Stegostoma tigrinum: one gene and its partners. The protein of the gene in region 1 binds, or shares a complex with, the protein of each later gene. Links are inferred from orthologs where the notes say so. Each region holds a gene or a part of one and is shown in the gene's direction. Other genes may lie near its edges. The genes, in order: gtf2f2a, polr2f, gtf2e2 and ercc3.

Region 1 (7,940 bases):
ATGTTGTTTGCCAATATATAAACCTATGTCTTTACATAATTCAGCATCTAGTTATTTATTTATTTATTATAAATTTATGTAGTTTCTTTCATCCCTGGCCACACCACTTGAAACAATTTTTGTTACAAAGTATCATAGTCAAGTTATGTAATTTGTGCTGTGGATCACTTGCAACAGCTTTCATTTATATTGGGAATATCACAAGGTATCCCTCAAAGCGATGGAAAACAAATAGATACTAAGTTTGAGGAGGAGGTGGTGAGAGGAGTGAGGATCAATGACTTGTAAAGAGCAATTTAGATACCATAGGGTCATACAGCACAGAAACAGACGCTTTGGCCCAACCATTCCAGGCTGACCATAATCCCAAACTAAACTAGTCCCACCTGCCGGTGCCTGGCTCACATCCCTCCATGGATTTCTTATTCATGTATTTATCCAAATGCCTTTTAAATGTTGTAACTACCCGTATCTACCACTTCCTCTGGAAGTTAATTCCACATAGGAACCACTCTCTGTGTAAACAAAATGTTGGCCCTCATGTCCTTTTTAATCCTTTCTCCTCTTACCTTAAAAATATGCCCCCTAGCCTTGAAATCCCCCACCCTGGGGAAAAGACATCTCCCATTCACCTTATCTATACCTCATATGATTTTATAAACCTTCATAGGGTCACCCCTCAGCCTTCTACACTCCAGTGGAAAAAGTCCAGTGAATGGGAGGTGTCTTTTCCCCAGGGTGGGGGATTACAAGGCTAGTGGGCATATTTTTAAGGTGAGAGGAGAAAGGTTTAAAAAGGACATGAGGGCCAACATTTTGTTTACACAGAGAGTGGTTCCTATGTGGAATGAACTTCCAGAGGAAGTGGTAGATATGGGTACAGTTACAACCTTTAAAAGACGTTTGGATAAATACGTGAGCCTCTCCCCAAAACTTAAACCCTCCATTCCTGGTAACATGCTGGTAAATCTTTTCTGAACCCTTTCCAGCTTAATAATATCTTTCCTATAACAAGGCGACCAGAACTGGACACAGAACTCCAGAAGAGACCTCACCAATGTGCTGTACGACCTCAGCATGACGTTCCTAACTCCTATACTCAGAAGTGACAAGTACTGGTGCCTGCAGAGAGAGAGAAGTGGATGTACAGCAGGCAAGAGAAGTGGGTGATAGGAATGGAGGAGTTTAGAGCTAGGGGGAACCAAAGGTTATGGAAGATTTTAGAAATGAGCATTTAAAATCTAAAGCATTGTGACCAGTAGCCAATGTAGGTGAGTAGAGATAGTGAGTAGAACTTGGTGTGACATTAAGGTTGTCCTGAATGATGCCCCAGTTGAACGTTCTGGAGGAGACCCTGGGAGAGAGAGTTCCAGATAACTGTAAGTCTCTTACACACTCTGTTTATCCTGTCCCTTGCCAAACAAATATTAGTTTTACAATTTAAGAAATATGGTACCTGTGATGAGAATATAGAAGATATTGCGATTAAGTTTGAGGATGACACCAAAATTAATGGCTTAGTGGGCGGTAAGGAAGGGTATCTAAGATTACCAAGAGATCTTGATTGATTGGGTCAGTGGGCTGAGAGGTGGCAGGTGGAGTTTAATTCGGATAAATGTGAGGTGTTGCCTTTTTAGTAAAACAAAAAAGAGCAGGACTTATACTATTAAAAGTAGCCCCTTGGGAAGTGTTGTCGAATAGAGAGACCTAGAGGTTCAGGTTGAATTTGGCATCACAGGTAGACTGGATGCTAAAGAAGGCATTTGGCACGCTTGCCTTCGTGGTTAGATCTTTGAGTATAGGATTTGGGGCGTCATTTTGTGATTGTATGGGATGTTGGAGAGGCCTTTTTCTGGAGTACAGTTCTGGTCACCCTGCTTCAGGAAGGATATTAAATTGGAGAGTGTTCAGAAAAAAAAGTACCAGGATGTTGGTGGGAATGGAGGGTTTGAGTTATAAAAATAGGCTGGGACTTTTTTTCTCTGGAGTGTAGGTGGCTGAGAGGCGACCTTAGAGGTTTATAAAATAATGAGGGGCATACATAAGGTGAATAGCAAAATTCCTTGCCCTAGGAGTTGAAAACTAAGAGGCGTATTCTTAAGGTGAGAGGAGAAAAATTTAAAAAGGGCATGAGGGGCATTTGTTTTTCTTATACAGAGTGATTTTTGGAGGATGTAAGTCAAAGAGGAGAACTTTGCGGCTCATTGAGGCTGGAGGGAAAAATTGAGAAAGAAGTGCCATATGGGCTGCAGTAGAGAAAGAGGCAGGTAATTCAATTTGAGGTTTACTCAGCTCTGACCAGGATGCCATAGTTGCAAACAATCATATCAGCGTGAAGCAGCGCCGGCATGGAGACGTCTCTCTTGTTGATGAGGGTACAGAAAGGTGCTGCATAATTATTGTTGCTGTGCATGCTCTTACCAGTCACACTTGGTAACCTCCTTTCTCATTTCTGAGTCACACTTCATCTTCACTAGCTCCAATTTTGCATTCATAACAGGTATGCACTGTACCAATCAACCAGTATGTAGAGCAGGAATAAAATTCAGTCTGTTCAGAAGATCTGTAAATGCAAAGCAGTAATCAAAAAAAAACCAGGGAAAGTAAACAAGTCAAGTTGCTCAAAGTACTTGTTGAGTACTTTCCAAGTGATTAGAAAGTAAGATAGGAATTTAATTTGCATGTTCTTCTACCCAACTAAATTTCCACATTGATTCTATCAGTTGTTTAATTTTAATCACAGAAGGGGGCAGATGGATAATTAGAAAATCTGTGGTTCTATTCATGTTAAGAACTCAAAAATTAGGACGTTGTATTATATTTTTGACCTCTGTAATATTTTCCTTGTACAAAACAATTGAAAAACTGGGTGAGGAATTTGAAGTTCCTTGAGTTGAAGGTCTGCATGAAAGATGCAACTTTTTTTTCTGAATCTAATTCAGGAATAAACAGACGGGAATAGAACGGCATTAACATTCTTGTGCACATAGTATGTTTTCATGCAACTGCAGTTGTTACAGGAAATACTTATTTTCCAGGACCCAATTTAAAAACACTTGGACTTGCTTCATTTTCATTGGAAACTTTGGGCATTCCTTTCACAAATATCCACCGACCTTTCACTGCCACTCCCCTGTGTCCGCATTGGAAAGAATGTAAAGCGCGATTTGTTTTTAATGTAAAGAAGATGCATATATATGATTATTCACATATGCTGCCATGTGTTTTAAAAACATAGAGAATAGGAGCAGGCCATTCAGCCCTTTGAGCCTGCTGCGCTATTCAATAGAATCATGACTGATTATCCAACTCCATACCCTGTAACCGCTTTCTCCCCATATCCCTTGATAGCCCTTTAGCAAAAAGAACCATATCTGACTCATTCCCGAAAACATTCAGTATTTTGGCTTTCACCAGTTTTTGTGGCAGTGAATTCTACAGGTTCACCACTCTCTGAATAAAGAAATTTTCCTTCATCACAGTCCTAAATGGCCTATCCTGAATCTTTAAACTGTGACCTCACTGGTCATTGGGAACATCCTTCTTGCATTTACCCTGTATATTCCTCTTGGAATGTTATAGGTTTCTTTGAGATGCCCCTCATTCTTCAAACTGCTAGTGCTTGTAAACCTGACCAATCCAGTCTCTCTTAATGCATCAGTCCTGCCATCCCAGGAATAGGCTCATAAACTTGCATTGCACCCCCTCCAAAGCCAGAGACCCAAACTCCACAAAATGATCCCGGTGTGGTCTCTCCATATAGAATCGTAACAGGACATCCCTGCTCCTGTACTCAAACCCTGTCACTATGAAGGCCAACATACTATGTGCTGCCGTCACTGTTTGCATGCTTTCCTTCAGCAGTTAGTGCACTAGGACACTGAGGTCTCAACATAACTTCGTGTTTCCCAACCTATCACCATTAAGATAATAATCTGCGGCCTTGTTTTTGTTTATCAAAATGTTACCCTCGCTTTTTCCACATTATACTTCACCTGCCTTGAATTTGCCCATTCACTCCACTTGTCCAAATCACACTGAAGCATCTCTGTGTTGTCCTCACAGCTCGCCCTCCCACCTGTCCTGTGTGATCTACAAACTTGGAGATATTACATTTAGTTCCCTTCTCTAAAGTATTAATATATGTTGGGAATAGCTGGGGCCCAAGCACTGACTGTTGCAGCACCTCCCTACTTACTGCCTGCTTTTTGGGTAAAACACCCATTTATTCTGACTGTTTCCTGCCAAACAGTTCTCCATTCCCATGTCAGTATGGCTCAGTGGCTAGCACTGCAGCCTCATAGCGCCAGGGACCTGGGTTCAATTCCAGCCTTGGGCAACTGTCTGTGTGGAGTTTGTACATTCTCCCCGTGTCTGCATGGGTTTCCTCCGGGTGCTCCGGTTTCCTCCCACAATCCAAAGATGTGCAGGCTAGGTGGATCGGTGATGCTAAATTGCCCATAGTGTTCAGGGGTGTGTGGGTTGTAGGAGAATGGGTCTGGGTGGGATGCTTCAAGGGGCGGTATGGACTTGTTGGGCTGAAGGGCCTGTTTCCGCACTGTAGGGAATCTTTTCTAATCTAAACTACCCTTAATCCCTCGCACTTTCATTTTGCATGCTAATCTCTTAGGTACATCTATTGAAAGCCTTCTGAAAGTCCAAGTAAGCCCATCCACACTCTTCCCCTTAGCAACTGATTTTCTTTTCATAATTCATGCTGACTCTGCCCAATCTGGCCTCTGTTTTCCAGTTGCTCTGCTCTAAATCTTAGAAGGATAACAGTATTTTCCCCACTACCAATATTTAGCCTAATGGCCTATAATTCTCTGTTTTCTCTCAATCGCCTTTTTAAACTAACAGGGTCACAGTTAACTACCTTCTAACATATAGAAACTGTTCCACAGAGTCTAAACAATCTTGAAAGATGACCATCAATGCACCCACTATTCCCAGGACCACTTCATTAAGTACTGTGTGGGATGTAAATTATCAGGCCTTGGGGATTTATCTGCCTTTAATCCTATCAATTTCCCCAACACGATTTCCCTACTAAAACTAGTTTTGTTCAGTTGCTCCCTTTGACTAAAGTTTCCCAACGTTTTTGGGATATTATCTGTGCCCATCTTTGTGAGATCAGAACTATATGTATTTAACTGGTCTGCCATCTCTTTGTTTCCCATTATAAATTATCCTGTTTCTGACCGTAAGGGGTACATTTGGCTTCCCACCTCCTTTCCTCTTCATGCACCTATAGAAGCTTTTATATTTAGTTTGCATGTTCCCCACAAGCTTACTCTCAAACCCCATTCTCCCCCTTAATCAATCCCTCTATCCATCTTTGCTGAAATCTAAACTTCCCCCCAATCCACGCATCTACTTTTTTGATTAATTTGTATGCCCCTTCTTTGGATCTAATGCTATCCCTAATTTCGCTTATTAGCCATGGTTGAGCCACATTTCCCATTTTATTTTTGTCCCGGACAGGAGTGTACAGTTGTGACAGTTCACCCATGTGCTGTTTTAATATTTGCCATTGCTTATCCACCATCATCCCTTTAAGTAACATTCCTTGATTTATCATAGCCAGTTCGCACCTCATACCACCCTAACCTCATTTGGATTCAGGATCCGAATCTGAGTCACCTACTACACCTTCCATCTAAGTAAAGAATTCTATATAACATTATGATCATACTTCCTCAAAGGGCCTCACATAGCTAGGTTGCCAATCATTCCTGTCTCCTTTACTCAAGTATTCACTGTCTATACCTAAAATACAAATACTCTTTTCTCCGTCCTTGTGAAAATATCTCTCGGGTTTCTTTTGAGTTGGCCCAGTTTGGTAATCCCATTCACCTTCTCTGTCTTCAAAGGCAGACCCTTGCTGAAATACCATTGAAAGCAGGAACCCCATGACAATACTGCAATAACTTAGCACTCCAATTTCCTCTTCTCCTGAGTGTTGGTGAGTCAGCAACGCAACCTGTATGCTGCTGAGCTATGGAGCCACTGTTTTGGGTCTGCCACATCTTAGGGTAGTTTAACAGATGTGTTAAAACTTAGGATATCCCTCTTTCATTGCTAACTGTTAGAATCCCTGTCTCTTCATTACTCACCTCCTTTTGTAAAACACTGTTCAAAGCAGAGTATGACAGGCCTTGTTGGTATATTCTAAAATCTTTTGAACAGTTCATATCCATCTTATTTGTACAGCATTAATTTATAGAACTCACGCTTGATGCACTAAATGTTATTTAACTGATTAGTTATGAAGTGTTTTTCATACAGTGATTATAATTGAAAAACCTGGTCGTTAGCTAGTTGCTTTATTGAGAGTTTGTATTATCAAAAATGTTAATTCAAATATTTTAAATTCTTATGACTGTTGGGACACAGTCTGGACAGATTTTATAATCCAGAAAAATCCATAATATGTTATGTGTAGATGTCAGACATCAATTTCTTTGAGGTCCTAAAGTGAATCTCTGCACAAAGAATCACTGGGGGTATATTACCCCTGTTCATCATGTCCTTTAAAATAATAAAATATGATTTTTTTGTTTACCAAAGTGCTCCTCTTTGCAATCTGAAATAGCTCCATATGCAGCGTCTGGTCAGTTTTTGAAGTTTGACTTCCTGTACTGACACATTTTTATTTTCTCTTTTGTGCAGCCCAGCTTTCCCACTCTCCCTTGTGCTCACTTTTTCACCTGCACTGGGCTCTGCAGGAGAATCTGATTCCCTACTTTGAGCTATCACTCCTCAGAAAAAATTAACAAAAATGATAATGCTGGCTATTACATAAGCAAACTGTGTTTTATTTTTGGCCTTCATGCTTACCGTAAATAACTGTTTGTATTACACATGTCTGTAGGTCCCCAAATACCTTTCTCAGCAATGGGCTAAAGCAACAGGAAGAGGTGAAGTCGGAAAAATAAGGATAGCCAAGTAAGTGACCTTTATTCTGTCACCAGAGTAGCTGTCAGAGGCTGACAAATGTGGTTTTTAAATGGTAAAGTGGTGAGCATGAAACTAATCTGCTTCCTCTTTCTATTTAACAGGAATCAAGGAAAAACTGAGGTAAGAGAATGCAAGGAAGGAAATACAATTGAAAGGTATTTTTGCCAGCTATCTCCTATCTGTCACCCCCAGATTTGTGTACTGTTCAAAAACAGCAGATTTATCTCTTACACCTGGTGGAGTGGCATGATGGGATAAACCCAGGAGTGTCCTGCACAGCCTGAATAGCCGTTCTATTTAAGAACAAACTCCTGTAATGTTTGTTCAACAACTGCTGAAAGCTTATGACCTTAAAACTTAACCTGGATTGTAAAGTATTGTTCTTTGCATTTTATGCCTCAGCCCTTTCACAACACTTGACACCTATCTTGTCATGAGTAATGCTATGGGATTAGCATCTGCTGGTATATACTGTAGATGGCTTGATTAAGTGTTTCTGGTACAAATGAGCATCATTATGACTCATTGTGATCATCATGAATGATATTGGAAATATTAATAGTAGATCTTTGCATTACTATCTAAATGTCAGATCTTGAGAGGAGATCGTTTCTTACTAATTGCTGAACGTTTTAGAAAAAATTGTTCCTGACAGTTTTATTTGCAGGCTTAAATGGAATGTAAAGCTAAATGTAGAATTTGCTTCCTGCATTATATTGTTGTTTGATGTTCTGACATCAGATTGAGAAGATTTCCTTTTCAGATTAAACTGACTGGGTTTTTCTTTTTCTTTTGAAAATAAGACTTATAGGTGACCTCATTAAGGTCTTCAGAATGAGTGGGTTAGACAGGATACGTGTGAAGAGGATGTGTAACACTTATGGGAGAGTGTGAAATAGGGGGCTACAAATACAAAATAGTATCTAAAGGGTTTACTGGAGACATGAAATATCTTGAACTTTGAGGTTATAGCGGTTAGA
Region 2 (7,366 bases), on another chromosome or scaffold:
TTATGCAGGAACAGGAGTAGGTCATTCAGCCCCTTGAGCCTGTTCTGCATGGCCGATCTGTGGCCTAACTCCGTAGACCTGTCTTTTAGCCTGTATCCGTTAATACCTTTGTTAATAAAAATCTAAGATTAAGATCAAGTAACTGATCCAGAGTGCTCCAAACCCCTCTCTCCCGGTGTGTGTAGACGCGTTTCATAACATTTCTCCTGGATAGGCTGAGAATTAGGGTCAGACCATGTCCCCTAGTTCCAGAATCCCCATACACATATTGAGAAAGAAAATTTTCTTGAATATTTGACACATTCTTCATCCAAATCTTTCACTGTATGGCATTCCCAGTCAATGTTTGGAAAATTAGAATCCCCCCATTATTACAACTTTATTATGCTTACAATTACCTGAGATCTCCCTGCATAGTTGTTTCTCAATTTCTCTCTCGCTACTGCGGGCCTCTTGTACAATCCCATCGAAGTGATCTGGATTGTATGGACTGCTCCAAGCACAGCCAACCTATTTTCAAACATTTACTCTTTAGCACCCAGTCTAGCTATTAATTCTCTCAATCAGCAATTGGCTTTGTGTGTCTTTGGGCACCGGACTCACTGTTTTCTGTTCTCTTCCCCGTATCATCCAATCCCATGCCTATCATCAATATAATTACCCAGCTATTTTCAGCTCTGACAAAATGTTAGTGGACTCAAAATATTAACAACATTACTTTTCTCTATACAGATGCTGCAAGACTTGCTGAGTTCCTCCTGTGTTTGGCATTTCTAGCAGCCAGAGTTCTTTGTTTTATTTTGGATCGATATTGGGACCCTAGTTTCTCCCGTTATATATTTATGATTATATGTGGGTTTTCAAGGCACATTTTCAAAGTTTGCAAATGAATCAAACTTGGGCGATTTGCAAATTATGTAAGGGTCATGTGGAACTCCAAAAGGATATCAACAAGTTGGAGGAGTGAGCAGATGTGATATTATTTTTTAAAATTCACTCATGGGACATGGGTGTAACTGATTGGCCAATATTTATAGCCTATCTATAATTTCTATCAAATATAGGTTTGGATTACTTTCTATAAACTCCCCATAAAAGTAGTAACTAAGTCAGTCAGTCCTTCCAGAAGTGACAAGTTGCTGGAAAAACTCAGCAGGTCCAACAGCATCTGTGCAGAGAAAGCAGATGGTGCCAGACTTGTTGAGTTTTTCCAGCAATTTCTGTTGCTGACCTCAAGCATCCACAGTACTTTGGCTTTTGCTTCCCATTCAAGCATGGATCAGAGGGGGAAACCCTGGAGTGTTAATGGAAGGTAGTGGACACAGGAATGTCTCTGGATGTTGTTTACGTGGAATTCCGGAAGGCATTTGAAAGAAGTTTCCACGGGACTTGCAGCAAAACACTGACAGCTCAGAAACCATTTGAGTGGCAGGCAACAGACCGTCAGGATGATGGGTGGGCAATCAAACTGACACGATGTGACAGTGGTGTCCCACAAGGATCTGTGTTTGGGCCTCAATTAATCAGATTTATTAACAACTCAGTTGTGGCATACAAAATCATATATCCAACTTTGCTGGTGATGCAAAGTTAGGCAGCATTGTAATTTTGTGCTATCAACTTCAAAAGGATATTGTTAAATTAAAATGTATGGGCAAAATTGTGGCAGATGGAGTTCAAAAGAAGCAAGGATGAGGTTATCCATTTTTTGGACTCAAAAGAATAGATCATGGTACTTGAGATAATGGGAACTGCAGATGCTGGAGAATCCAAGATAATGAAATGTGAGGCTGGATGAACACAGCAGGCCAAGCAGCATCTCAGGAGCACAAAAGCTGACGTTTCGGGCCTAGACCCTTCATCAGAGAGGGGGATGGGGTGAGGGTTCTGGAATAAATAGGGAGAGAGGGGGAGGCGGACCAAAGATGGAGAGGAGAGTATAGGTGGGGAGGTAGGGAGGAGATAGGTCAGTCCAGGGAAGACGGACAGGTCAAGGAGGTGGGATGAGGTTAGTAGGTAGGAGATGGAGGTGCGGCTTGGGGTGGGAGGAAGGGATGGGTGAGAGGAAGAACAGGTTAGGGAGGCAGAGACAGGTTGGACTGGTTTTGGGATGCAGTGGGGGGTGGGGAAGAGCTGGGCTGGTTGTGTGATGCAGTGGGGGGAGGGGACGAATTGGGCTGGTTTTGGGATGCGGTGGGGGAAGGGGAGATTTTGAAGCTGGTGAAGTCCACATTGATACCATTGGGCTGCAGGGTTCCCAAGCGCAATATGAGTTGCTGTTCCCAACCTTTGGGTGGCATCATTGTGGCACTGCAGGAGGCCCACGATGGACATGTCATCTAAAGAATGGGAGGGGGAGTTGAAATGGTTCGTGACTGGGAGATGCAGTTGTTTATTGCGAACTGAGCGGAGGTGTTCTGCAAAGCGGTCCCCCAGCCTCCGCTTGGTTTCCCCAATGTAGAGGAAGCCGCACCGGGTACAGTGGATGCAGTATACCACATTGGCAGATGTGCAGGTGAACCTCTGCTTAATATGGAAAGTCATCTTGGGGCCTGGGATAGGGGTGAGGGAGGAGGTGTGGGGGCAAGTGTAGCACTTCCTGCGGTTGCAGGGGAAGGTGCCGGGTGTGGTGGGGTTGGAGGGCAGTGTGGAGCGAACAAGGGAGTCATGGAGAGAGTGGTCTCTCCGGAAAGCAGACAGGGGTGGGGATGGAAAAATGTCTTGGGTGGTGGGGTTGGATTGTAGATGGCGGAAGTGTCGGAGGATGATGTGTTGTATCCGGAGGTTGGTGGGGAGGTGTGTGAGAACGAGGGGCATCCTCTTTGGGCGGTTGTGGCGGGGGCGGGGTGCGAGGGATGTGTTGTGGGAAATGCAGGAGACACGGTCGAGGGCGTTCTCGATCACTGTGGGGGGGAAAGTTGCGGTCCTGGAAGAATGTGGACATCTGGGATGTGCGGGAGTGGAATGCCTCATCCTGGGAGCAGATGCGGCAGAGGCGGAGGAATTGGGAACAGGGGATGGAATTTTTGCAGGAGGGTGGGTGGGAGGAGGTGTATTCTCGGTAGCTGTGGGAATCGGTGGGCTTGAAATGGACATCAGTTACAAGCTGGTCGCCTGAGATGGAGACTGAGAGATCCAGGAAGGTGAGGGATGTGCTGGAGATGGCCCAGGTGAACTGAAGGTTGGGGTGGAAGGTGTTGGTGAAGTGGATGAACTGTTCGAGCTCCTCTGGGGAGCAAGAGGCGGAGATCAGGGTACTTTCTGGATTTACCTGTACGCCTACAAAGTAGGTTAAATATAATGGATGGGTTCAGGTGCATGGGTCTTTAAAATATTGTCAACAGGTACAGAAAATAATCAAGCAAGTTAATGGAATGCTGGCCTTTATATTGTGCACACGTGTAGTCTCTAGAAATTATACAAAACCCCAGTTAGAGCCCCACTTGCAGCACAGTGTCTGTGCACCACACCTCAGGAAGGATACCGTGGCCTTAGAGGGAGTACAATGTAGGTTTACAAGAATGGTATCAGAGATAATGGGAACTGCAGATGCTGGAGAATTCCAAGACAATAAAATGTGAGGCTGGATGAACACAGCAGGCCAAGCAGCATCTCAGGAGCACAAAAGCTGACGTTTCGGGCCTAGACCCTTCATCAGAGATGAAGCTCCTGAGATGCTGCTGGGCCTGCTGTGTTCATCCAGCCTCACATTTTATTATCTTACAAGAATGGTACTTGGGCCTCAGGGGTTATGAGGAGAGATTAGATAAATCAGGCCTGTTTTCTCCAGAATTTAAAAGGTGTTCTCATAAAAGTCTTCAAGATCTTAAACAGGAAAAACAGACCCTTCTTCCTAGGCCCGAACCCTCAGCCTTCCTGCTCCTCTGCTGCTGCTGCTGCTGCTGCTTGTCCAGCCCCACACCGGGTTATCTCAGATTCTCCAGCACCGGCAGCTACTGCTGTCTTTAAAGGGATGACCTGTTGCATTTGTGGGAAATGGGTTGGACTTGGCTGAGGCCCATTTCGCAAAGCGTCTGGAAGTTAAACCAAATGGTTTGTGATGCTGCTACAGGCCTGAGGTCCACCCTCCAGAAAAGGCCCCTTAGGGCCACTCAGTACATGCTGGTCAAAAACAACCGCTTAACCGTTGTGCTTCTATATTCCAGCACTTCACATCACAAATTACACCCTTACAGTTGTTAATACGAGATAAATTCACGAGTGTAATCTCTGCCCAGAACAATGTTCATGTGAAAGTATTTACTAGAACTACAGGCAATGAGGGAGAACGCCCCCTGCCAGTATCAAACATGGCGAAGCACTCCGATTGGTATAAGGCGCAGGCGCAGTGACGTCATGTCCAATAACCCTTGATCCGGAAGCACCTTGCTTGACGCCGCTCAGTGTGGACTACCACCGCCATCATGTCGGACAACGAGGACAAGTGAGTGATCGGCGAGAGCCGCTGTTTCCAACACAAGCTGCACACACCGGTGCGGACACAGCCCGTGACCGCAGACAACCGCCAACTCACCCCGGGAGCCGCTGCCGCCCTCCAACGAGGCCTCTTCCGGTCAATTTACCAGACGCCCCGAGAAGTGATCGAGCGAGGCTAACGGACAGCGACTTGACAGGGTCTGCTCACAGTGCCGCCTGCTGCCCGGGCTGAGTCACTGCACCCCCCCACACAGTGCCGCCTGCTGCCCGGGCTGAGTCACTGCACCCCCCCCCACACTGCCGCCTGCTGCCCGGGCTGAGTCACTGCACCCCCCCACACTGCCGCCTGCTGCCCGGGCTGAGTCACTGCACCCCCCCACACAGTGCCGCCTGCTGCCCGGGCTGAGTCACTGCACCCCCCCACACAGTGCCGCCTGCTGCCCGGGCTGAGTCACTGCACCCCCCCCACACAGTGCCGCCTGCTGCCCGGGCTGAGTCACTGCACCACCCCCACACAGTGCCGCCTGCTGCCCGGGCTGAGTCACTGCACCCCCCGTTACAGTGCCGCCCGCTGCCCGGGCTGAGTCACTGCACCACCCCCCCCGTTACAGTGCCGCCTGCTGCCCGGGCTGAGTCACTGCACCCCCCCCTGTTACAGTGCTGCCTGCTGGCAGGGCTGAGTCACTGCACCCCCCCCGTTACAGTGCCGCCCGCTGCCCGGGCTGAGTCACTGCACCACCCCCCCCGTTACAGTGCCGCCTGCTGCCCGGGCTGAGTCACTGCACCCCCCCTGTTACAGTGCCGCCTGCTGCCCGGGCTGAGTCACTGCACCCCCCCGTTACAGTGCCGCCTGCTGCCCGGGCTGAGTCACTGCACCCCCCCCCCGCCCCACAGTGCTCCCCACTGGCCGGGCTGAGTCACTGCACCCCCCTCACAGTGCCGCCCACTGCCCGGGCTGAGTGACTGCACCCCCCGTTACAGTGCCCCCCACTGCCCGGGCTGAGTCACTGCACCCCCCCCGGCCCACAGTGCCCCCACTGCCCGGGCTGAGTCACTGCACCCTCCCCGTTACAGTGCCCCCATTGCCCGGGCTGAGTCACTGCACCCCCCGCCCCACAGTGCCCCCCCTACTGCCGGGGCTGAGTCACTGCACTCCCCACCCCACAGTGCCCCCACTGCCCGGGCTGAGTCACTGCACCCCCCGTTACAGTGCCCCCCACTGCCCGGGCTGAGTCACTGCACCCCCCCGCCCCACAGTGCCCCCACTGCCCGGGCTGAGTCACTGCACCCCCCGCCCCACAGTGCCCCCACTGCCCGGGCTGAGTCACTGCACCCCCCGCCCCACAGTGCCCCCACTGCCCGGGCTGAGTCACTGCACCCCCCACCCCACAGTGCCCCCACTGCCCGGGCTGAGTCACTGCACCCCCCCCACAGTGCCCCCACTGCCCGGGCTGATTCACTGCACCCCCCGCCCCACAAGCCCCCACTGCCCGGGCTGAGTCACTGCACCCCCCCCCCCACAGTGCCCCCACTGCCCGGGCTGAGTCACTGCACCCCCCCCCCACAGTGCCCCCACTGCCCGGGCTGAGTCACTGCACCCCCCCCCCACAGTGCCCCCACTGCCCGGGCTGAGTCACTGCACCACCCCCCCCACAGTGCCCCCACTGCCCGGGCTGAGTCACTGCACCCCCCACCCCACAGTGCCCCCACTGCCTGGGCTGAGTCACTGCACCCCCCCACAGTGCCCCCACTGCCCGGGCTGATTCACTGCACCCCCTGCCCCACAGTGCCCCCACTGCCCGGGCTGAGTCACTGCACCCCCCCCCCCACAGTGCCCCCACTGCCCGGGCTGAGTCACTGCACCCCCCCCACAGTGCCCCCACTGCCCGGGCTGAGTCACTGCACCCCCCCCACAGTGCCGCCCACTGCCCGGGCTGAGATACTAACACACCCCCCGTGCCCGGGCTGGGGGTCCCTGTTCTGTGTGCCAAAGGGCTCCTGCTGTCTCAGCTGTGCCCCTGCACCAAGTGTCCTTCCCTTGCCACTGGTTTTAACTCTCCTGTAGCACCTCCCGCCGTCTCGCTGACTGAGAGCCCGCAGCTTTCTGCCTGGTGCTGCTGGTGGGGCGGTGGTAGCACTGGCTAATGCTTCGGAGCGCTCTTAGGGGACCATGTGGTCTGTGGCTGCTTCTGTTTCTTAAGACGTGTGGATTGGGGCTAATGTTTGATAACTGGAGGCACAGAGGTAAAGCTGGAACGGGTTGGAAAGGCACCACTAAGGGTTTTAAAGTTAATTTTGTGGGGCCTGGTTTAAAAGGGATGTGAAGGATTAGTCCTTAGTTCACAGGTTGCTGATTGAACATTCTCTTGGACAGCCAGAGCTGAGTTGTTGATACTTCTGTTTTGTGCTTCTAATATTTTTCTTTCTTTAATTTTAGTTTTGATGGAGATGATTTCGATGATGCTGATGAAGATGAAGGAATGGATGACCTGGACAATGCGGAGGAGGTGGGCACCTCGAACAACCAATATTCCTCTCTCTATCTGTAGTAAAGCTCTCTCAATTCTCCCCAACATGGGACTTCACTCCTCCCTGCTCTCTAGCTCCACCGCTCCTACAACCCGCCTTGATCGCTGCACACCTCCAGTTCTTGACTTCTGTCATTCTACCAAGACAGTCGTGCTTCCAGCTGCCTGGACTCCAAGCTCAAGAATTCCCTCCCTAAGTCTTTGTCTTCACTTCTCTCTGTCTCTCACCCATTACGATGCTCATTAAAGCCCGTCTGTTTCAGTGAGGCTTTTGCCACACCTTGTCTTTTTCTGAGGGTCAGGTTTTATCAAACAATAGTACACTGAAACCCAATTTATGAAGACTAATTGGATGATCAGATTGTCTGGTGGAGGAGCTGCAGAGCCAGTTTCTGCTGTCT
Region 3 (7,510 bases), on another chromosome or scaffold:
AGGTACGTGACAGGATAGTCACTGTGTGATTGTTTCCCCTGGCTGCTTTCCCAGCCACCATCAGTTCTGAGGATGGGTCACCAGACCCGAAACGGTAACTCTGTTTTCTCCTCCACAGATCCCGCCAGACCTGCTGAGCTTTTCTAGCAACTTCTTTTGTTCTTGATTTACAGCATCCGCAGTTCTTTTGGTTCTTAAAATGACTGAAGAGTCTCGGCAGGGTGGGTATAGAAAGGATATTCCTGCTGTGGGAGAATGCAGCACTAACAGCCACTCTTTAAAAGAGGTCACCCTTTTAAAACAGATGAGGAAAAATGTTTGGTCTGAAAGTGGTGACTCTTCAGAATTCTTCCTCAAAAGATGGTGGAATATTTTCGAGGCATAGGTAGAATTTTGATAATCAAGAGTTGAAAGATTATTGGGAGTGGGTGGGAGTGTGGAATAATCAAATCAACCATGATCTTATTGAATGGTGGAGAAGGCTTTAGGTCCCAAGTAGTCCACAGCTCCTAATGTTTATACCTGTATGTTCATACGACTCATGAGTCCTCATGCATCTCATACAAGAGAATCAACTGTGGACTCAAGAGTCCTTATCTGAGTCCTGGAAAGGAGAATCATCTATGATCACATCTTTTGAAGAACTGAGAAATGATCTCGCCTATTCCCCTGGCTTGCTGCAGCTCACCATGCACAAATTCCATCTCAGAAATATTCTCTAGGATGCATGCTGTGCCATGATCTGAGCTAGTGATGCATAAATCAGATCAAATGATGAGGCTTCTCAGAGGTCTGTTGCAGCTTTTGCTTTTCTTATGAGACTGCTGTGGTCGCTAGCTAGTAATGCCAATGGTATCTGAAGCAGACAATTAGAAGGAAGGAATAATGTGAGGAATGGAGTGGAAAGAAGGCATCCATTGTCATACAGCAGCCTGGATGCATTTCATGTTAGATATCAGGATGTAGTTGAGATAAGATTAAAAAAGGATCACAAAGAGGAACTTATCATTATCCTGAACATTCGCAGTGCTGCCAAATGCGACAATATGCCACAACCAACCCCACAACCAGATGCTGAGAAAATAGTACTCCAGTGGGATAATGTGATGCAAATGCGTCTGTCTCCTTCCAGTTCTGCTCTGCTCCCTGCAGTCATGAGCTGGCCACTTTTACCTGCCTGCCATATAAACATAGCAAATTTTCAGCACAGAAGACAACCATTGACCCAGTGCGTCTGTGCTTGCTATAAGAAACCATTAGGCCTAATCTTTATTGTAGTTCTTGGTTATGGCTCATCAAGTGCATGTCCAGTTACTAAAAAAAAAACTTCATTTCCACTTTTTTTTTCTGTAAACTCTGCTTATTGATCCTTCTGCTGGAAAGCCCTTTATGATTTTATATGCCTTGACAAATGTTCTCCTTAACCCTTTCTACTCTAAAACCAATTCCAATTTCTCTAATCTTTCTATCAAACTGAAGTCCCTAACTCCTGGTATGTTTGTATGAATATCGTCATATCCTCTCCAAGACCTGGACAAAGTGTTATTGCTCAGAAGCAATAAGATCAGCAGGACTGTCAATGTGCAGAATCGCAGGAAATGGGGGAAATACTGAACGAGTATTTTATATTAGTGTTTACTGAGGAGAAGGATATGGAAGATATAGAACGTGGGGAAATAGGTAGCAATATCTTGAAAGACATCCATATTGCACAGGTGATGGTGCTGGATGTCTTAAAGCGCATAAAGTTGGATATCCCCGGGACCTATTCAGGTGTACCGTAGAACTCTGTGGGAAGCTAGGGAAGTGATTGCTGAGATATTTGTATCATCGATAGCCAGAGGTAAGGCGCCAGAAGACTGGAAGCTGGCTAATGTGGTGCCACTATTTTAAGAGTATTGGTAAAGGAAAAGGCAGGGAACTATAGACTGCTGAACCTGACATCAGTGGTGGGCAAGTTGTTGGAGGGAATCCTGAGGGATGGGATTTACATGTATTTGGAAAGGCAAGGATGATTAGGGGTCGTCAACATGGCTTTGTGCATGGGAAATCATTTCTCACTAACTTGATTGAGTGTTTTTGAAGAAGTAACAAAGAGGATTGATGAGGGCAGAGCAGTGGACGTGATCTCTTCGGACTTCAGTAAGGCATTCAACAAGGTTCCTAGTTAGGAAGGTCAGATCACACAGAATACAGGGAGATCTAGCCATTTGGATACAGAACTGGCTCAAAGGTCGAAGACAGGGGGTGGTGGTGGGAGGTTGCTTTTCAGACTGGAGGCCTGTGACCAGTGGTATGCCACAAGGATCAGTGCTGGGTCCACTGCTTTTTGTCATTTTTCTAAATGATTTGGATGTGAACAGAGGAGGTGTGGTTTGTAAGTTTGCAGATGACACCAAACTTGTAAATGTAGTGGACAGCAAAGTTGGTCACCTCACGGTACAATAGGATCTTGATCAGCTGGGCAGAGGAGTGGCAGATGGGAGTCTAATTTACATAAATGCAAGGTGCTGCATTTTGGAAAAGCATATCAGTACAGAACTTATACACTTATTGGTAAGGTCCTGGGGAGTGTTGCTAAACAAACAGACCTTGAAGTGCAAGTTCATAGTTCCTTGAAAGTGAAGTTGCAGGTAGATAGAATGCTGAAGAAGGCATTTGCTATGCTTGCCTTTAATGGGCAGTGTTTTGAGTATAGGAGTCATGTTGCAGCTGTACAGGACATTGGTTAGGCCACTTTTGGAATACTGCGTGCAGTCTGGTCACCCTGCTGTAGGAAGGATGTTGTGAAACTTGAAACAGTTCAGAAAAGATTTACTAGGATGTTGCCAGGATTGGAAGGTTTGAGCTACAGGAAGAGGCTGAGGCTATTTTCCCTAGAGTGTCGAAGGCTGAGGTCTGACCTTATAGAGGTTTATAAAATCATCAGAGCATGGATAGAGTAAATAATCAAGGTCTTCTCCCCAGGGTGGGGAGTCAAAAGCTAAAGGGCATAGGTTTGACATGAGAGGGGAAAGATTTAAAATGGAACTAAGGGGCAACTTTTTTCACACAGAGGGTGGTGCTTGTATGGAATGAGCTGCCAGAGGACGTGATGGAGGCTGGTACAATTACAACATTTAAAAGGCATCTGGATGGATAAATGACTAAGAAGGGTTTAGTGGGATATGGGCCAAATGCTGACAAATGAGACTAGATTTATTTAGGGTATGTGGTTGGCATGGATGAGTTGCACCGAAGGGTCTGTTTCTGTGCCGTACATCTCCAATTGAACAAAATACTCCACCTGATGTGTACCTAGTGATTTATAATTGTTTAGCATACCTTTCTTGCTTTTGTACTGTATGCCTTGATGTACAGAACGAAGTTTAAAAAAACCTATTTTCAACAGCCTCATCAGCTTCTCCGACTACCAAAATTCATCTGTATTAACCCAAGATTTCTCTGTTCCCTTTAACATATCACAACTTAGTTTATTGCCAGAAATTACTTCAAGCTTATTGTGTTAAAATACACCTGCAATGTGTTTACCCAGTTAATTGATCTGATTTCCTCAAATCTGTTACCATCTACCTCACCGGGTTACCACCTTTGAAGTTTATTATCTACCAGCATCAAACTTATTTCTAAATTATCACTAATGATATTAAAAATGACAATAAAAATCTCGCAGGTGATCATTACCCTTCAGTGAGAAAAGCAAAATATCACAAAGGCCACCACGCTAGTTTTGTGCTGGGATAGGGACTCACATGTCAGTTGGATAGAATAAGGTGTCCTTCAACAGTCAAAGGGCTGCTAATGTAGCTAAAGGAGCGAGGAGATACCTAAAGGACAGGGGTTCTCCAGCACTTTTAAAAACTTGCAACTTAAAAATGGCCCCAGTGGTAAATGGTCAACCTTCTGCAGGCTAGCTAGCAGGCAAATGGAAATCATGGATGGAAAAACCTACCTGAACTGACTTTGATAAGCTTCCCCTTCTCTGACAACTTCAAAGGGGGGAAAATTCCAGTCGTCGTGGAAGTGAGGTATCCTACCCTGACATCCAACAAAGTGAAGAGCTGTGCCGGCCTGCCAGCCTTCCCGCGGATTTTAAGAATTAAAAAAAACACCCTTGAAAACTCTCTTTTAAACGATGGTGCGAAACACATGCATTTCCTATTTTTTACAAAAACGGCAGTTGCTGGAAAAGCTCAGCAGGTCTGGCAGCATCTGTGAAGGAAAAAACAGTTAACGCTTCAGGTCCGGTGATTCTATTTTACAATCACCGTTACCCTCTCCTTTCTGCCCCTTCATCAATATCAGATTCACGCTAAGGCTCCTTCAACTTCATCGGCTTCAAAGTGAATTTATTTTTTGAATCCAAAGCTTTCCATTTTGACCATAGTGCTAAGTCAGTTGATACCCGGACTGACCAAGACTCTCGGTAACTGTAACCGGTGAATGCAGCTGCTTGTCTTCCAGCAACCAGTGACGACAAGGGGGCGGGGTTTGTCACCAGACGTAACCAATCAAGTGCGAACGGCGGTTAGATCGATGACATCGGTGATCACAGGGTTGCTTGGAGACGGAGTCCTACATTGTCGGTGGCCTTGGTTTGGGGTGCTGGTAAGTTTTATGAGCTTACAGCCGGTTTACCCAGAACTCTGTAGAGTGATCAGTAGTTATTTTGCTCCCGTTGTTTGGATGTTTATTGAGAGTCGAGTACTGATGGCTGACTGTCCTTTTCGCCGAATTTCTACTCAAGGCACCGTGGGCCCGGGGAACTCCTGAAACTTATGACTTATTCTTACAGCAGAAGGCAGAAACGATTAGTTTAGAGTCAGGGGGACTGGAGAGGATGTTGAGAATTTGGTGGGATATCGTACAGATTGAAAAAGGCACTTGAGAAAGACTTAACAGGAGATTAGTGAAATACAGAATGTGGAGTTGAACTCTGGCCTCCTTTCACGAAAATGGCTATAGATTGGGAGAAAGCTGAAAGAATGTAGGCCGTTTGTTTTTGTACATTTTATGCAAATAATGACATTGGGCTGACTGTTACGTCGTTTTTGCCGGTTTGCATCTAGTTTTTTTTTAGGTTTTGTCCCCTGCCTTTATGGGATCCGTCTCGTCCGATTCCGACCACGTTTACCACATGCCGTTCCGGGAACAAGCCGCCACTCAGCGGATGTCACAGAATTCTCGGCATCCCATGTGCTCCATCACTTTTTAAAAGCCAGACGTATACCTGAACAAGCACTCGGTGTCGAGGTGACCTGTTGAAATATGGCACATAGAGGGAAACTGGCATCCCACGTTGTGATCAGGGACTTGAGGTCCTGCTGGGCTTCCACTTCCCCCAAATCTCCACCCAACTGCAACACCTAACTGTGCCATGATGTCTAAGGTTGCCACCTGGGTTAGAGCTGTCTCAGCTGACAGCAAGAATATCTAGCACTGCATGAAGAACATCAAAGTCCTTTGCCATTCTGCTCGAGTAAGTCCCACCATACTCTGTCCAATACTGCCTTTGCTGCTGTATCCATTCCACATCAAGCCTAATGCAGTAGTAATTTCACTATTGCCTGCAACATCTACCCCACTCACCCTCATATGCCCCAACAACCCAACACCATCAGCCATGTATGCATTTGTGCTGTCTACCTACACTCTCACTTAGCACGTGTTCCCACTTGTGGCAACAGTAAAGCTGTGCCATCACTGTTGTCTCCCATAATACTTGCCTTTCTCTCAATCCATGAGAAGTAAAGCCCACAGTAGGACAGAAAGACTTGAGGTGAGTGGTGGGTTGCTTGACATTTGGCTCCTCATCCTTTATGAGAAGAGAAACCTGACTCAACCTCCCTGATCAAAGTCTGGACTGATATTGGAGGCCACCATTGAATTACTGAGCCAAAAACTCCAAGTGAAGGCTATCCCTCTCTTGACTGAGGTCTGCTGACAAATGACACCCTTCCTAGCTTTATGTCTGCTAAATGACAATGGCAAGAAATCAGTACTAAGACTGGTATCTGGCTGAGGAATGGGATTGAAAAAGACAAGGCAGGGATCCTGCAAACGTCTACGTAGACTGAGTGTTGGAGCAGTGGTTAAGAGCAAGTGGTGAACTGATTCAACCAGATGCTCACTCTGGTTTCCTTGTCAAGCTTTCCAGATGTCAAACTTATTTGGTGACTTTGGGAAGATGAGAGGCTGTTTGTTGATGAGGTGAGTTGGGCTTTTAACCAGGTATTTAACAAGCTAGAGGAAGAATGTTATTAAACTGGAAAGGGTGCAAAAAAGATCCTTTCTGAGACTGAAAGGTTTGAATTAAGATAGGCTGGGACACTTTTCCGCTGGAGCATAGGAGGCTGAGCTATGACCTTATAGAGGTTTACAAAATCGTGAGGGACATATATAAGGTGAATAGCTTAAGTCTTTTTCGGAGTGTAGGAGATTCCAACACTAGAGGACATAGGTTTAAGGTGAGAGAGGAAAGATATTAAAAGAACCTGAGAGGTAACTTTTTCCCACAAGAGGGTGGTGCATGTATAGAATCAGCTGTTCGCAGAAGTGGTAGAGGCAGGAACAGTTACAACATTTAAAAGACATTTGGACAGATACAAGGATAGGAAAGCTTTAGAATGATATGGGCCATATGCAGGCAAGTAGGACTAGTTCAGTTCAGAAAACTTATTCAGCATGGATGCTTTGGGCCGAAGGGCCTGTTTCTGCATGTATGCCTCTGACTCTGAGTCTAAGCATTAATTATGGCTAATTGGCACCTCACCAGTACCAGGAAAGGATCTTGCCATGCTGATTTTTGAAGAGCATAAGAGATGCTGAGAGTTGTTCCCAACATCAAGATGAGACTCACCACTTGTAGTGCGATTCTGCACACATCTCACCATAGACCATGTTGCTTGGATCTCTACAAGTTGACGCACACAGTTCCTGGTTATATGATCGTATATAACTGCACAGACAGTTATTAAAGGATATGATGTAATTGGGTTCACAGAGACCTAGATCCAGGGTGACCAAGGATAGGAATTCAATATCCAGGGGTATTCAATTTTCAGGAAAGATAGATGGAAAGAAAAGAGAGGTGGGGTAAGGAGTAAATTAACACAATAGTAAGGATGTTTTAAAAAAAATAAGGAGGGATGTAAAAGAGGTGGGAGAGTGGCATTGCTAATCAGGGATGGTATCACAGCTGCAGAAAAGGAGGCCGTGGAGGAGGCTTTGTCCACTGAGTCAGTGTCGGTGGACGTCAGAAACAGGAAAGCAGCAGTCACTTTATTGGGAGTTTTCTATAGAGCCCCCGATAGCAACAGAGACACTGAGGAACAGATTGGGAGACAGATTTTGGGAAGGTGTAGAAGTAATAGGGTTGTTGTCATGGGTGACTTCAACTTCTCTAATATAGACTGGAACCTCCTTAGTGCAGAATTTATCAGGTGTGTCCAGGAAGGATTTCTAGCTCAGTATGTATATAGGTCAACTAGAGGGAGAGCCAAAATGGATT
Region 4 (7,907 bases), on another chromosome or scaffold:
TTCCAGAGTGATAAGTTCCAGTCCGCTCCTGCAGGTCCCAGAGCACTAGGCTACGCTGCTTCCGCGGGCCGCTCTCAGTCAAGGGCTCACTCTACCACAACTCCTGGGAATCACCTGTTCGCTCTGCGGGATTCGGCATAAGACATTGGAGTGGAAGTAAGGCCATTCGGCTCATCGAGTCATGTGCTTGTTCCGTTACGGGGCACGGCCTGCTCGCTCTGGTCTGCTGCGGGACATGGCTTACTCGCTCCACTCCTCGACTCCACTCTTTCTGCTTAATGCCCAAAACTCATTTTAGAACATAGAAAAGTACAGCACATTACAGGCCCTTCGGCCCACGATGTTGTGCCGTGGAATAATCCTAATCCAAAAATAAAATAACCTAACCTAAATTCTCAATTCACTGCTGTCCATGTGCATGTCCAGCAGTCGCTTAAATGTCACTAATGACTCCGCTTCCACGACTACCACTGGTAAACTATTCCATGCGCTCACAACTCTCTGGGTGAAGAACCTCCCTCTGACATCTCCTCTATACCTTCCTCCTAACACCTTAAAACTACGACCCCTCGTGGCAGTCGATCGTGCCCTGGGGAAATGTAGTTTCTGTTTCCTCAACTTTCTGCTTAAATATAGTCGTTGGGCAATATTTTTAAGAACACGTACGTTTATAAATTTGCTTTAAAGAGCATTTCCTAATCCATTTGGGTACAGTTTCATTACTACTGCTGAACTTGGGCTTGTCAATTCATAATCTTGGATTTTAAATGACCAATGTAACAAAGTACAGTTCTATTTGTTAGTCACATTGATTAACTTCTTAGTAAATGAAAATTATATTCAAAAGCCTTTAATATCTACCTACTTATGTCCTTGTGCTCAAATCTGGAAGAATGTTCTGCTGCCCCAGGCTGCCTGGGTTTGGTCTCCTGGAATCCTGTGATGAGCCTCAAGGGGAAGAACTGCCCTTTTCATGACCATCCCATCTACTAACACCTCCAGGTTTGTGCAGGTGAAGCAGGGAGTAAACTTTAGTTTGAAACGTGGGAATAACAACAGTTCAGCATGGTAAGTGGGGAGCAATAATAACGCTAGGCCAATTAGTCCAAGAAAGGCAATGGCCTAGTGATATTATCGCTAGACTAATAACCTGGAGTAAGATAACAAAGTGTGAAGCTGGATGAACACAGCAGGCCAAGCAGCATCTCAGGAGCACAAAAGCTGACGTTCGGCCCTAGAGAGCACCAGGTACTGTTCTGGGTACTCACATTCAAATTGCGCCATGGAGGATGGAATAAAAAATAGTCTAATGATAATCAGGAAACCATTGCCAGTTGTCAGGAAAAACCCATCAGGTTCACCAATGTCCTAATACACTAGCTGAGGTTAATCAATGTCTTAGGCAAGTGCAGTATAACCATGAATAAAAGCACTGGACAACAGATAACATAGAACATAGAACATAGAACAGTACAGCACAGAACAGGCCCTTCAGCCCACAATGTTGTGCCGACCATTGATCCTCATGGATGCACCCTCAAATTTCTGTGACCATATGCATGTCCAGCAGTCTCTTAAATGACCCCAATGACCTTGCTTCCACAACTGCTGCTGGCAACGCATTCCATGCTCTCACAACTCTCTGCGTAAAGAACCTGCCTCTTACATCCCCTCTATACTTTCCACCAACCAGCTTAAAACTATGACCCCTCGTGCTAGCCATTTCTGCCCTGGGAAATAGTCTCTGGCTATCGACTCTATCTATGCCTCTCATTATCTTGTATACCTCAATTAGGTCCCCTCTCCTCCTCCTTTTCTCCAATGAAAAGAGACCGAGCTCAGTCAACCTCTCTTCATAAGATAAGCCCTCCAGTCCAGGCAGCATCCTGGTAAACCTCCTCTGAACCCTCTCCAAAGCATCCACATCTTTCCTATAATAGGGCGCCCAGAACTGGATGCAGTATTCCAAGTGCGGTCTAACCAAAGTTTTATAGAGCTGCAACAAGATCTCACGACTCTTAAACTCAATCCCCCTGTTAATGAAAGCCAAAACACCATATGCTTTCTTAACAACCCTGTCCACTTGGGTGGCCATTTTAAGGGATCTATGTATCTGCACACCAAGATCCCTCTGTTCCTCCACGCTGCCAAGAATCCTATCCTTAATCCTGTACTCAGCTTTCAAATTCGACCTTCCAAAATGCATCACCTCGCATTTATCCAGGTTGAACTCCATCTGCCACCTCTCAGCCCATCTCTGCATCCTGTCAATGTCCCGCTGCAGCCTACAACAGCCCTCTACACTGTCAACGACACCTCCGACCTTTGTGTCGTCTGCAAACTTGCTGACCCATCCTTCAATTCCCTCGTCCAAGTCATTAATAAAAATTACAAACAGTAGAGGCCCAAGGACAGAGCCCTGTGGAACCCCACTCACCACTGACTTCCAGGCAGAATATTTTCCTTCTACTACCACTCGCTGTCTTCTGTTGGCCAGCCAATTCTGTATCCAAGCAGCTAAGTTCCCCTGTATCCCATTCCTCCTGACCTTCTGAATGAGCCTTCCATGGGGAACCTTATCAAATGCCTTACTGAAGTCCATATACACCACATCCACAGCTTGACCCTCATCAACCTTACTAGTCACATCCTCAAAAAACTCGATAAGGTTTGTAAGGCATGACCTACCCCTCACAAAGCCGTGTTGACTGTATTTGATCAAGCCATGCTCTTCCAGATGGTCATAAATCTTATCCCTCAGAATCCTTTCTAACACCTTGCAGACGACAGACGTGAGACTTACCGGTCTATAATTGCCGGGGATTTCCCTATTTCCTTTCTTGAAGAGAGGAATTACATTTGCCTCTCTCCAGTCCTCAGGTACGACTCCAGTGGAGAGCGAGGATGCAAAGATCTTCGCAAGTGGCGAAGCAATTGCATTTCTCGCTTCCCAAAGCAGCCGAGGACAAATCTGATCCGGGCCTGGCGACTTGTCAATCTTAATGTTTGACAAAATTTTCAGTACATCAGCTTCCTCTATCTCTATCCATTCCAGCATGCACACCTGCTCTTCAAAGGTTTCATTCACTACACAGGTCGTTTCTTTCGTAAAGACAGAAGCAAAAAACTCATTTAGGGCTTCCCCTACCTCCTCAGGCTCCACACACAAGTTCCCTATGCTATCCCTGATCGGCCCTACTCTTTCTTTGACCATTCTCTTATTCCTCACGTAAGTGTAAAATGCCTTTGTGTTTTCCCGGATTCCTTCTGCCAAGCCTTTCTCGTGCCCCCTCCTGGCTCTCCTCAGACCATTTTTGAGCTCCTTCCTTGCCTGCATGTAATCCTCTCTAGCTGAACTTGACCCTAGCTTCCTCCACCTTATGTAAGCTACCTTCTTCCTTTTCACTAGAAGCTCCACCGCTCTCGTCATCCAAGGTTCCTTTATCTTACCCCGTCTTGCCTGTCTCAGAGGGACATATTTACTCATCACTCCCAACAACTGTTCCTTAAACCATCTCCACATGTCTATAGTTCCCTTACCATGGAACAACTGCTCCCAGTCCATGCTTCCTAACTCGTGTCTAATCGCATCATAGTTTCCTCTTCCCCAATTAAATATCCTCCCATTCTGCCTAATCCTCTCCTTCTCCATAGCTATGTAGAATGAGAGTGTGTTATGGTCACTATCACCAAAATGCTCTCCCACCACAAGATCTGATACCTGCCCCGGCTCGTTTCCGAGCACCAAGTCTAGAATGGCCTCTCCCCTCGTCGGCCTGTCAACGTACTGAGTTAGGAAACCCTCCTGAACACACCTTACAAAAACAGCTCCATTCAAATCTTCTGCTCGAAGGAGGTTCCAATCAATATTAGGAAAGTTAAAGTCACCCATTACAACAACCCTACTGCGTCCTCACTTTTCCAAAATCTGTCGACCTATGCTTTCTACAATCTCCCTGCTGCTATTGGGGGGCCTGTAGTAAACCCCTAACGAGGTGACTACTCCCTTGCTGTTCCTAATTTCCACCCATACTGACTCAGTAGGCAGATCTTCCTCGACAATGGAAGCTTCTGACTGATGTTGGAGAAATTCAGAAGTTTTAAAAATAAAACATTTTCCAACAGTTTCCAATTAAGAAGTCATACCAGATGTGAAACAATAACTGTTTCTCTCTTCGCATGTCCTGCCAGCCCTACTGAGTTACTCCAGCATTTTGTGCTTTTTCTACATTATCTCCTTGCTGAAATGAAGGATTTATGAAGGGTCAAATAGATGTTATGACATCCTAAAAAAGATGCAAGACTTTTATTTGTAATAGTTGAGTTGGTATGTGATATCAGCTTCACATAGAAGCCAATCAGCAACATTACCTGTACTGTACCTGCCTATCCAGTGCGTGCAGTTGTATGTTCTATTAGTGCCTTATTTCACATTTACAATTCTGATGTGTTAAAAAAGACTTTTGGTTCTACAATATCTTTTCATGACCACACCTCTACCCAACGCACTTTACAGCCAGAGGGCAGCCACGATGGTAATAGAGCAGACCTGATTGTCAATGTGCCACTTGGTAGGTTGCTGCAAAACGTCAATATGGGAATGATGAGGCTGTCCGTTTTTTTGTGCGAACTGTCGAGCAAGTATTGCCCATGACTACCAGGATTCTGTCTCCCTGCTAAGATAACAAGGTGTGGAGCTGGAATGAAGACAGCAGGCCGAGCAGGAAAGCTGATGCTTCGGGCCAAGACCCTGCTGTGTTCCTCCAGCTCTACACCTTGTTATCTCAGATTCTCCAGGATCTGCAGTTCCTTCTCTCTCTGCACCACAGATCACTTGGTATCACTGAGCTGGAGGAATCATGTGACTGATGGTTGGGTGGAGAGGATTTTCGCTTTGCGCACGCGCGCCGGTACCGGCACACCAGCGCCGGGTCCAAACATGCGCACTGGGCTCGGCCGTATCTGCGCATGCTTCTAGACACCGGGGAACGATGGGCAAGAAGGAGAGAGGTAAGGCCCGCGGTTACACAACACCCCCCCCACCCATCCCCATCCCCGCCCCCCCCATCCAGACCCACCCCATCCCCATCCCCGCCCCCCCCATCCAGACCCACCCCATCCCCATCCCCGCCCCCCCCATCCAGACCCACCCCATCCCCCCCATCCAGACCCACCCCATCCCCATCCCCGCCCCCCCCATCCAGACCCACCCCATCCCCATCCCCGCCCCCCCCATCCAGACCCACCCCATCCCCATCCCCGCCCCCCCCATCCAGACCCACCCCATCCCCATCCCCGCCCCCCCCCCCACCCATCCCCATCCCCCCCCACCCATCCCCATCCCCACCCCCCCACCGCACACCCCCCCCCACCCCCCCACCGCACACCCCCCCCCACCCCCCCACCGCACACCCCCCACCGCACACCCCCCCCACCGCACACCCCCCCCACCGCACACCCCCCCCACCGCACACCCCCCCACCCCTCCACCGCACACCCCCCCACCCCTCCACCGCACACCCCCTCCACCCCCCCACCGCACGCGCACCCCCCCCACACAACACCCTGTTGTGCTAGCTGATATTTATCCCTCAGCCAACATTGCAAAAACAGATTGTCTAGCTGTTGTACTTTTGCTGTTTATAGGTTATGTTTCCTTCATTGCAACAGTAACGTCATTTCAAAAAGTCCTTAATTGACTGTAGAGTATTCTGACATTTCAATGGTTGTGATAAATGCCGTATAAGTGCGCATCTATCTTTGTTTTATGTGTGTGAACAGTACCAGATTTGATATTGATATCCTCTGTTCTCTTTTACTGAACCAGTCGAGTTCCAGATTGTTGTGAGGCTGGTTGTGTTTGGTAATTGGCAGTTTCTACGCGGTATCCTGTGCACGATCCAAAGATGTGCAGGTTAGGTGGATTGGCCATGCTAAATTGCCCGTAGTGTTCGGGGTGTGAGGGTTATAGGGGGATGGGTCTGGGTGGGATGCTTCGAGGTGCGGTGTAGACTTGTTGGGCCGAAGGGCCTGTTTCCACGCTGTAGGGAATCTAATCTAATCCTTCACAGCTGTCCCATCAAAATAGGTTAACTTTAACTGAAGGACTGTTTCATGACCACAGGATGCCCTAATATCCAGTTGTGATGGCGTCACTAGTACAGTGTCAGGGAATACTGTATTATCTCACTCACAGCAAGTTTGCTCAAGCTGCGGAGAGAAATTCTGGATCACCTGGAGTATTGTGTTCAGTTCTGGGTGCCTTATTTAAGGAAGGATGTTACAACCCAATAGAGAATTAAATGAAGTTTACTAGAATGATACCAGCAATGTGGGATTTTAGCTAGAATGAGAAATTAGGCTTATTCTTCTTGGAGTAGAGAAGATTTAAGAGGTGACTGTATGGAGGGGTTCAAAATTATGAACAGTTTTGTCAAGTTGAAAAAGTATATGGTTGATTCTTAAATGCCTGCTGGCTAATTGGGGAATGGCAATTTATGCTGGCCTGGCTAAGAACACCCTCATTCTGTGATTAATAAAACATATTTTGTTTCAACTTATTGGTACGCCAGTAACCAGGGGGTCACAATTTCAAACTTGTCAACCAGAAAGTTGGGAGTTAGATGATGAGAAACTTCTTTACTCAGTTGTTTAGGATTTGGAATACACTGCTTGGGAGAGGCAGATTCCTTAGGAGGTTTCAAACAGTCTTCTGTACTGTAAAATCATGGGGTGTGGGCATTACTGGCTGGCCAGCAGTTAATTGCCCATCAGTAGTTGCCCCTTGAGATGCAAATGTGAGGTTTTGCACTTTGGAAAAAAGAATACAGGCATGGACTATTTTCTAAACGGTGAGAAAATTCGTAAAGCAGAAGTACAAAGGGATCTGGGAGTGTTGGTCCAAGATTCTCTAAAAGTTAACTTGCAGGTAGAGTCCATGATTAAGAAAACGAATGTAATGTGATGTTATGTTGTTGTTTATCTCAAGAGGGTTGGAATATAAAAGCAGTGATGTGCATCTGCGACTTTATAAAGCTCTAGTTCGGCCCCATTTAGAATACTGTGTCCAATTTTGGGCCCCACACGTCAGGAAGGACATACTGGCCCTGGAGCGTGTCCAGCGGAGATTCGCACGGATGATCCCTGGAATGGTACGTTTAACGTACGATGAACGGCTAAGGATCCTGGGATTGTATTCATTAGAGTTTAGAAGGTTGAGGCGAGTTCTAATAGAAACTTACAAGATAATGTATGGCTTAGACAGGGTAGATGCTGGGAAGTTGTTTCCATTAGGCGGGGAGACTAGGACCCGTGGGCACAGCCTTAAAATTAGAGGGGGTAAATTTAAAACTGAAATGAGGAGACATTGCTTCAGCCAGAGAGTGGTGGGCTTGTGAAATTCATTGCCATGGAGTGCAGTAGAAGCCGAGACGTTAGATGCCTTCAAGGCAGAGATCGACAAATTCTTGATCTCAGAAGGAATCAAGGGCTACGGGCAGAGTGCAGGGAAGTGGAGTTGAAATGCCCATCAGCCATGATTTAAATGGCGGAGTGGACTTGATGGGCCGAATCACCTTACTTCCACTCCTATGTCTTATGGTCTTATGGAGAGGTGCCCCAGATGGTGAGTTGCCCTCTTGAACAACTGGGGCAGCACGGTGGCTCGGTGGTTAGCACTGCAGCCTCACAACACCGGGGACTCTGGTTCAATTCCAGCCTCTGGTGACTGTCTGTGTGGAGTTTGCACATTCTCCCCGTGCCTGCGTGGGTTTCCTCCGGGTGCTCCGGTTTTTCCCACAGTCCAAAGATATGCAGGTTAGGTGGATTGGCCATGCTAAATTGCCCGTAGCGTTTAGAGGGATGGGTCTGGGTGGGATGCTTCAGGGGACTTTGTGGACTTGTTGGGC

What was found.
Region 2: gtf2f2a (region 1) and polr2f share a complex: the UniProt entries of both Homo sapiens proteins name them as parts of the TBP-based Pol II pre-initiation complex. The link is inferred for Stegostoma tigrinum from reciprocal best matches to the Homo sapiens genes GTF2F2 and POLR2F.
Region 3: gtf2f2a (region 1) and gtf2e2 share a complex: the UniProt entries of both Homo sapiens proteins name them as parts of the TBP-based Pol II pre-initiation complex. The link is inferred for Stegostoma tigrinum from reciprocal best matches to the Homo sapiens genes GTF2F2 and GTF2E2.
Region 4: gtf2f2a (region 1) and ercc3 share a complex: the UniProt entries of both Homo sapiens proteins name them as parts of the TBP-based Pol II pre-initiation complex. The link is inferred for Stegostoma tigrinum from reciprocal best matches to the Homo sapiens genes GTF2F2 and ERCC3.

Annotation. Positions count from the first base shown.
Region 1 is NC_081365.1:74,518,651-74,526,590, reverse strand, and holds the start of gtf2f2a (general transcription factor IIF subunit 2), read left to right. Parts: upstream 1-4,924; coding exon 4,925-4,981; intron 4,982-6,874; coding exon 6,875-6,948; intron 6,949-7,061; coding exon 7,062-7,080; intron 7,081-7,940. UniProt on the Homo sapiens protein: TFIIF is a general transcription initiation factor that binds to RNA polymerase II and helps to recruit it to the initiation complex in collaboration with TFIIB.
Region 2 is NC_081391.1:23,912,416-23,919,781, reverse strand, and holds the start of polr2f (DNA-directed RNA polymerases I, II, and III subunit RPABC2), read left to right. Parts: upstream 1-4,353; 5' UTR 4,354-4,424; coding exon 4,425-4,444; intron 4,445-6,874; coding exon 6,875-6,944; intron 6,945-7,366. UniProt on the Homo sapiens protein: DNA-dependent RNA polymerase catalyzes the transcription of DNA into RNA using the four ribonucleoside triphosphates as substrates.
Region 3 is NC_081354.1:37,467,420-37,474,929, forward strand, and holds the start of gtf2e2 (transcription initiation factor IIE subunit beta), read left to right. Parts: upstream 1-4,507; 5' UTR 4,508-4,608; intron 4,609-7,510. UniProt on the Homo sapiens protein: Recruits TFIIH to the initiation complex and stimulates the RNA polymerase II C-terminal domain kinase and DNA-dependent ATPase activities of TFIIH. Both TFIIH and TFIIE are required for promoter clearance by RNA polymerase.
Region 4 is NC_081360.1:103,816,789-103,824,695, reverse strand, and holds the start of ercc3 (general transcription and DNA repair factor IIH helicase subunit XPB), read left to right. Parts: upstream 1-4,890; 5' UTR 4,891-4,991; coding exon 4,992-5,010; intron 5,011-7,907. UniProt on the Homo sapiens protein: ATP-dependent 3'-5' DNA helicase/translocase. Binds dsDNA rather than ssDNA, unzipping it in a translocase rather than classical helicase activity. Component of the general transcription and DNA repair factor IIH (TFIIH) core complex.